2 linked regions of the Macaca fascicularis genome follow. The protein of the gene in region 1 interacts with the protein of each later gene in a biochemical or structural test. Links are inferred from orthologs where the notes say so. Each region holds a gene or a part of one and is shown on either strand. Other genes may lie near its edges.

The links.
Region 2: the proteins of ITPR1 (region 1) and CABP1 form a complex in vitro, tested with the Homo sapiens proteins (2 studies listed by BioGRID). The link is inferred for Macaca fascicularis from reciprocal best matches to the Homo sapiens genes ITPR1 and CABP1.

Annotation. Positions count from the first base shown.
Region 1 is NC_088376.1:142,894,025-142,897,830, forward strand, and holds part of ITPR1 (inositol 1,4,5-trisphosphate-gated calcium channel ITPR1), read left to right. Parts: intron 1-1,697; coding exon 1,698-1,817; intron 1,818-2,766; coding exon 2,767-2,964; intron 2,965-3,806. UniProt on the Homo sapiens protein: Inositol 1,4,5-trisphosphate-gated calcium channel that, upon inositol 1,4,5-trisphosphate binding, mediates calcium release from the endoplasmic reticulum (ER).
Region 2 is NC_088385.1:127,678,515-127,682,924, forward strand, and holds the start of CABP1 (calcium-binding protein 1), read left to right. Parts: upstream 1-1,471; 5' UTR 1,472-1,531; coding exon 1,532-2,185; intron 2,186-4,410. UniProt on the Homo sapiens protein: Modulates calcium-dependent activity of inositol 1,4,5-triphosphate receptors (ITPRs). Inhibits agonist-induced intracellular calcium signaling.

The sequences.
Region 1 (3,806 bases):
GCCCTCCCACTATCCTTCCCAGCCTTTGGTAACCATCCTTCTACTCTCTCTGTCCATGAGTTCAATTGTTTTGATTTTTAGATCCCACAAATCAGGGAGAAGATGCAATGTTTGTCTTTCTGTGCTTGGCTTATTTCACTTAACATAATGACCTCCAGTTCCATCCACGTTGTTGCAAATGACTGGATCTCACTCTTTTCATTCACTTTTTTTTTTTTTGAAATGGAGTCTCACTCTGTCGCCCAGGCTGGAGTGCAGTGGCGAGATCTCAGCTCACTGCAACCTCCACCTCCTGGGTCCAGGCAATTCTTCTGCCTCACGCTCCCGAGTAGCTGGGACTATAGGCACTTGCCACCACGCCCAGCAAATTTTTGTGTTTTTTTTTTTTTTTGAGACGGAGTCTCGCTCTGTCTCCCAGGCTGGAGTGCAGTGGCCGGATCTCGGCTCACTGCAAGCTCCGCCTCCCGAGTTTACGCCGTTCTCGTGCCTCAGCCTCCCGAGTAGCTGGGACTACAGGCGCCTGCCACCTCGCCCGGCTAGTTATTTTGTATTTTTTAGTAGAGACGGAGTTTCACTGTGCGTGTTAGCCAGGATGGTCTCCATCTCCTGACCTTGTGATCCGTCCATCTTGGCCTCCCAAAGTGCTGGGATTACAGGCTTGAGCCACTGCGCCCCGCCTAAATTTTTGTGTTTTTAGTAGAGACGGGGTTTTACCATATTGGCCAGGCTGGTCTCAAACTCCTGACCTTGTGATCCGCCCACCTTGGCCTCCCAAAGTGCTGGGATTACAGGCGGGAGCCACCGCACTTGGCCTCATTCACTTTTTAGCACCCCTTGCTTATCAGTTAAACACTCCCCTCCCTCAATATAATCAGTAAGTCTTGCAAGTTCAGTTGTTGGTTGAGCATTTTTATTATAGATTAGTGAATTCTATTGATTGTATCTCATTCACACAGATCTACTCCTCTTTCGTACACCCTGTCCCCATTTCTTTCCCCTTCTCTTGTCCTTCTAATTAAGACCCACATTTTCAGTTGAAGCAGGAAGCAATTTACAGTGTGGGTGTCACAAATGATTACAATGGAGCGCAGACACAGTTGCTGTAAAAACACCTACTACACCCATGAAAATAACCCGCGTTTTCTGGAGCCTGCTCACGGGCCAGCTAGTGAGCAATGGAAGCACTCCCGTTAATCATCTCATTTAGTCCTCAGGACAGCCCTCAGAAGTGACACATTATCCTTTTCTATAGATGAGCCTCAACTAAAGCACAGTGAAATTAGTAATTTCCCCAAATTAACGCTCCATAGCAGAACTCCACTAATAAGATCCTAACCGGGCTTCCAACACGGGTAGCCAAACATCGGGGCATTGCCTCTCACCACTGTGGTTCCCCTGTATCTCCACCACACCTTCCTTATGTGAGCTTCTTTCTTGTCTTGTTCCTTCTTCTCACCTTTGCCTCATCACCTCTTCCTTGACCACAGCCACTACTGTCTCTCCTTCTTGCTTCCTCTTCCTTCTTTCTAGCATGTGGGTTTCTGGTGGTGCCATAAACACTGGCATCGAGACCTAGAATGCTGCTGACATGTCTTGGTAAAGATACATTGGACCTGTGCACTTAAGGAAGGGTTGGGCTCCAGGAGCCTAACCTCTGCTCTAACTATGGAAAATGTTTTGTTTCTGTTTCCGTTTAGATTCTTAGATTACCTCTCCGACCTCTGTGTCTCCATGAACAAATCGATTCCAGTGACCCAGGAGCTAATATGTAAAGCTGTACTGAATCCCACCAATGCTGACATCCTGATTGAGACCAAGTGAGTGGGGAGCTGGGGTTTAGATGGAAAACATGTGGTTCATTCCGTGTTGGCGCTCATGAGGAATAAAACCTAGCCCTATCGTTTTTTGAGTTGATCTAAAGTCAGCATGGCTGGCATTTGATCTTCCTATTGGAAAAGTCTTGATTAGGAGAATTACTGAATTTGATTTTGGTGTGGCCTCCTCTGCATAGTGGTGTCACTTACTTTGCATACAAGTTTAAAAGTCATGTAAACTCACTGGGGAGCAATTTACACAGTTACATTTTAAGAGTTTAAAACTCTCTGTGTGACCGTCAATCTAAAATTTCAAATGACATAATTAATATTCAGTGTTAAGATTAAGTCAATGTTGGGAGGAGTTTTAAGTTATTACTCTTCAGAATGTGTTTATTGGTCTGAAGAATTTTTCTTAACAGTAGTAATTCATTTTTGGCAAAGGAACAGTTTTCCTGAGAACTATAGTGCCAGTAATATGGGCAACATTTAAAAAAAATTACTAAATTATGTCCTGAGCTAGTGATACTGCATTGATTCTCATGTATAACTCAGTTTTGGGCTTGGGCTACTGCAGGGTTTTTCAGTTTAGGTATTTTCATATTTCGGGCTGGGTAATCCTTTGTTGTGGCTCTGTTCTAGGCACTGTAAAATGTTTAGCAGCATCCCTGGCCCCTACCCACTTAGATGCCAGTAGCACCTCTCCATTTCAGTTGTGACAACCAAAAACCTGTCCAGAGACATTGCCTAATGTCCACTGGGAGCAGCAGCACCACAGTCAAGAACCACTGGGTTACGGTATAAGAAGATGTTAATGTCAGGCTCTCTGCGGCTCTGCCCTTGGGTGAAATACAAAACAAAAAGTGGCTTTCCGTGTGTCTTTATGCTGAAAGTGAAGCTAGATATCAAAGTATTTTAAAAAATAGAGTTTTTCCTTCTTCTTGTTTTCCAGGTTGGTTCTTTCTCGTTTTGAGTTTGAAGGCGTTTCTTCCACTGGAGAGAATGCTCTGGAGGCAGGAGAAGACGAGGAAGAGGTGTGGCTGTTTTGGAGGGACAGCAACAAAGAGATTCGTAGCAAGAGTGTGAGGGAGTTGGCGCAGGACGCTAAAGAAGGGCAGAAGGAGGACCGAGACGTTCTCAGCTACTACAGGTGCGTGGGACACATGTGGGGCTCAGATTGGGTTGCCCCAAAACAGTGGCACTTAGGAATTTGTTGCTCGTTTGTTGATTACTTCAAGGAATCGCAAGGTGTCATCTTGTGAGATTGTCTTGAAAAAAGCCAGATGTGTATTTTAGGAGTTTAGAGTATAAGATTTCAGTCAATTGACATCTGGATGTGGCTGGGTCCCAAGAAGGATGAGTGCTCACATCAGTCCCTGGTGACAATTTATCCTTAAGCAGCATGGCCTGTAGATATGGTGGTAGGTACGTAAGGGGTAGGCTGTGGGGTGAAATCCTGACCTCTCCACTTACCAGCTTTTTGACACTGGCCAAGTTTGATTTTATGCTCTAATTTCTTTATCTGCAAAATAAAGGTGATAGTGCCAATCTCACCAAATGTTTATAGACAGAGCCAGAAGATGTATGTATGTATATACATATATCTACATACTCATCCACATATCTATTTCTATAACTACACAAATATATAATAAAAATCATGTGCTTACACTAATACTTCCAATTCCATTCCAACACCATGGGGTTTATTCTAGCCTTCATTTTTTCCATTTCATGACTCGTTCCAGCTGCCGTGATTCCCTGTATGTTTCCCTGTCTGCCCGTTCCCCTGTGTGTACCTGTCTCACCTCTGCTGGCCACCTCCTCAGTCCCCAGTGTCTGCTTGGCTCCAGCTCGAAGACCTGCCAGCCCTGCCACCTGAAGGGAAGGGAAGGGGAAGAAAGAAGGGAAGTGAACCAATAAATACTTTTAAAAGAAAGGGAAAGGGAAGATAAAGCAAGGCTTTTATTAGTTTTTAATAAAATAAATAAA
Region 2 (4,410 bases), on another chromosome or scaffold:
CAGCCTGGAGTGCAGTGGCCGGATCTCAGCTCACTGCAAGCTCCGCCTCCCGGGTTCACGCCATTCTCCTGCCTCAGCCTCCTGAGTAGCTGGGACTACAGGCGCCCGCCACCTCGCCCGGCTAGGTTTTTTTGTATTTTTTAGTAGAGACGGGGTTTCACCGTGTTAGCCAGGATGGTCTCGATCTCCTGACTTTTTGTGATCCGCCCGTCTCGGCCTCCCAAAGTGCTGGGATTACAGGCTTGAGCCACCGCGCCCGGCCCATTTTTGTATTTTTAATAGAGACGGGGTTTCACCATGTTGGCCAGGCTAGTCTTGAACTCCTGACCTCAAGTGATCTGCTGGTCTTGACCTCCCAAAGTGCTGGCATTACAGGTGTGAGCCACTGTGCCCAGCCTTGTGTATCCTTTTAATGAGGCCGAGCAGTGACCAGACGGTGGATGGCATTGGGGCCAGGGACCAGAACAGGGAGAGCCTGGGAGGAACCCCTCTAGCCCCCTGCAAATCTCAAGCACCGGATACTAAAGAAGAGTGGTAGATGGGGCCTCATGAGATGCAGGGGGAAGGTAACTGGCTTAACTGGATGGTTCCCTGTCCAAGCACTGGGCTAGGCCTTTTGTGTGCATAGTATCGTCTACTGTTACCAAGAAATTAGTTATACTTATCATCTGCATCTTACAGAAGAGGAGAACAAGACTCAGAGAGGTTGGTGACACCTGCCCAAGTTACCCAGATGGCAGGTGGCAGAGCTGGGATTTGAGATTCAAATCAGGCCTGGGAGGCTCTCTGGCTGCCCACCAAGAGCAGGAATTTCTGTAGCATCTAGAAAGGCATGAAGGTGAAAGAGGCGACAAGAGCTGGAGGGGCAGCAAATGGGTCCTACCTGAGAGTTGACCATCATCAGGTGCTGTCCAGACCTGGCTTCTCTTCTATTCTGAGAACTGATATCCTGTGACTGACTTACCAGGCTCGTCCTAGTCCCCCCGCACGATATTGGGAGTGGAGGCAGCCCTCCACGGAGGCGCTGAGAGCCTTTACTCCCAGCAGTGTCCTGTCACTGCATTCCGGCCCCTGCGTTTGTAGGCAGTGGTGTCATAGAGTGCCTTCATGCTCCTCGGGTCTCCGGTTCTCCCTGGACCTCTGTGGTCCTCACTGCCAAAGTTGTACCCCCTGGGGAGTGCACCCTGCCTGCATTTCTGGAGGTTCGGGCGGTTCCGGGACTCTGCAGGAGCCTCCAGGCGTGATAAAGAGCGCTGCCGGCACTCTCGGGGTCTCGGCCTCTTTGGGGCCCCTTGCCAAACCCCTTCCCTCCTCGCGCTCCCGCTCAGCGTTGCAGCGTCCCCTTCGCCGCCAGGGGCCGCCCGGAAGCGGGGCTCCCCAGGGCGGGGCGTGGCAAGGGGCGGGGCGCGGCGGTACCTGGGCCGCCAGGGAGCCGGGGGTGGGCTCTCCGGGGACAGCCGGCAGCGCCCCCAGATCTGCACCGCCAGCCGCCGGGAGCTCCGGGCTCCGGGCATAGAGGCTGCGCTGTCACATGGGCGGCGGCGACGGGGCCGCATTTAAGCGGCCGGGGGACGGCGCCCGCCTCCAGCGCGTCCTCGGGCTTGGCTCCCGCCGGGCGCCCCGTTCTCTGCCCGCCGGGGGCCCCGCGCCACGCCGCACCGCGCCGCCCCCGCCGGGCCATGCGAGCGCGGGCCCCGCCGCGATGAGCTCGCACATCGCCAAAAGCGAGTCCAAGACGTCGCTGCTGAAGGCGGCGGCGGCGGCGGCGAGCGGGGGCAGCCGGGCTCCCCGCCACGGCCCTGCCCGGGACCCGGGGCTGCCCAGCCGCCGGCTAACTGGCTCCTGCCCGGGGACGCCGCAGTCGTCCGGGGACCCCAGTTCGCGGAGGCCCCTGTGCCGGCCGGCGCCGCGAGAGGAGGGCGCGCGGGGGAGCCAGCGTGGGCTCCCCCAGGCGCACTGCAGGCCCCGGGAGGCGCTGCCGGCCGTGGCGTCCCGACCTTCGCCGTCGTCGCCGCTGCCGCCGGCCCGCGGGCGGGATGGGGAGGAACGGGGACTGTCCCCGGCGCTTGGCTTCCGGGGCTCTCTGCGAGCCCCGGGCCGCGGGGACTCCGTTCCAGCCGCCGCGTCCGAGGCGGACCCGTTCCTCCACAGGCTGCGCCCCATGCTCAGCTCCGCCTTCGGCCAGGTAAGGGCCGCGCCTCCCGTCAGCGCTCCCGGGAAAGGCGCTCGGGACCCTGCCGGCCGCGGCTGCGCGTCCACAGCCTCCTCCTGCGGCCCGTGGCCCCCCTCCCCCGGGTCACGCCTCGGCTCACCCGGTCCTCCCCGGGCCGGCGCCCTTGCCGGCACTCCTCCTCCCCGTGCCTGGTTCAGCACCCCGTGCGCTGTCCACGCTCCGGGCCTCTTCGGGGCAAGGCCCTCCCCCATAACCTCCCTCATACCTGCCGGAACCCGCCAGTCCTGGAAGAGAGCGACCTCTATGACCCTCCTGGAGATTTGCGGGGGTCGAGGAGGGGCGCTCCGAGCAGGTGGCGCCAAACCCACTCCTCTGGCCTCTGGCCAGTACTGCCGGGGAGCGACTCAGGAGAGCAAGCGGTTTGGAGTCTGGGGGTCAAGAGAGGAGATCTCAGAGAACACAGAATTACTTGAGGGCGAGGGACATTAGCCACTGCCTATCATGTACCTGAAGGCCTGGGAAAAGTTAGGAGATTCAAAAATATGAGGAAAGAGAAGAGATATCTGGGTAGGCATGGAGGGACATGCAGAGCTGTGGCTCAAACTGGAACTTTGGAGTGGTTTAAGGAGACTGTCACTCCAGGGATGCCATTGTAAGGGTCAGAAAGGCCACGAAGAGGTCATCAGTGGTTCCCGCAACCTTTTCCTCAAGAGTCCCAGGCACCTGGGCACCTGCCCTTTAAAAACTGCTCCGTAGTCACAATCCAGGTCTACAGTTGGGGGCTGTGCTGCTGGGGAGACAGCTCAGTAGAAGGAAACCTCTGAACTCCCGAGCAAAAAAGCCAGGGTTTCCCCTAGTTCGGAGTCTGTAATCAAGTCAAACTCATTGGCACAGCTTTGAGACAGTTCTGTGGCAGCCTCTGAGAGGTGTCATGCAGAGGTCTGATTAGAGCGTTTGCATGGTTTGTAGGGAAACAGGGGGGCCTGCGCCTTTCTGTGCTAAGATCTAAAATAAAGAAGCTGTTTCAAGCTCGTGGCTTGCCACGCCGGATCAGAATTCCAAGGAGGCCCTGTGTGTTTTGCTTCAGATCTGCACATTTCTTTTCAAAATACTACTCTGCAGTGGCTGATGCTGGTGGAGGTCTGACATGAAGGCAGCTGCACATGGATTTGGGTTGCGTGGGGCTGCTGTGGTGGGGCCATAGGGCAGCGGTGTGTGGCTTTGTTCCTGCAGGGAGCCCTCGTTAGCCGAGTTAGCTGGAAACAGTTCTCTGGAGTAGAGGTTTGGATGCAGAGCCGTGAGAGTTAGTGAGGCGATGTGTTAGGGGAGTTCATTGCAGTGGTTTGTGTTAATGAGGAGGTGTAGGCTGTCAGGGCACTAGTGGTCTTTGGATTGGGGCTGGGTTGCAGCAGGAATGCTGGTTTGTTGAATGGGTGATACCGATTCATTCATTTATCAATTACTTCTTGAGCATTTATTAAGGAAACCTTCAGGGGTTTCCTTAGTTCCTGTGGTTTGTTTGTTCAGACATTTGCTAGACACCAGGAGGACAACGGTGAACCAGGTAGCCAGGGCCCTGGCTGAACCTAGCAGTGTGGAACGGCAGGCCATTGGCTAGAATCATACACTTTCTGGTTACTCAGTTTGCTGCTGATCTGACTCAGCTCCTGAAAAAAAAAAAAAAAGAGTCCTTTCTTTCCTGTCTTGCAGAATTTGCCTGCATGAGCCCTTTCTGAGCTCCGAGCATTGTAGTGACGTACTTTTGTTTTTCCTTCTGATTTCTCAGTCATTAAATGAATTATCCAGCCCAATGTTCTGAAATGTCACCAGGGTCACCTGAGTCAGGAGGAGCTGGAAGTTCCCATCAAATATTTACTACCTCCCTCTGGAAGCTCTTGCGTCTCAGAGCTGCGGGCTTTTACTTTAAAGCCCAGCACATTCAGTTTGGGCTTCCATTTGACACCTCCAAGTCACCTACGTGAGCCACAACAACAAACCCAGGCTGGGACTTTTATGTCAGAGCCTCCAGTCTCCTGTGACAGAGAGGAATTAATCTTTTCTTCCCTTTTCTCTGAATTGAGATTTCGGTCCTTAGAGGTAGGGTCAGAAGCAAGAGAAGGCAGATGGGGTTCTGAATACAGAAACTTTTAGTTAAGATCTGCTTAGGACAAAATACAGCCCTGGGGAAGTATAATTTTCATGTCTCCCCAAGTTTCATTTGTTTTTAACTTAACTGA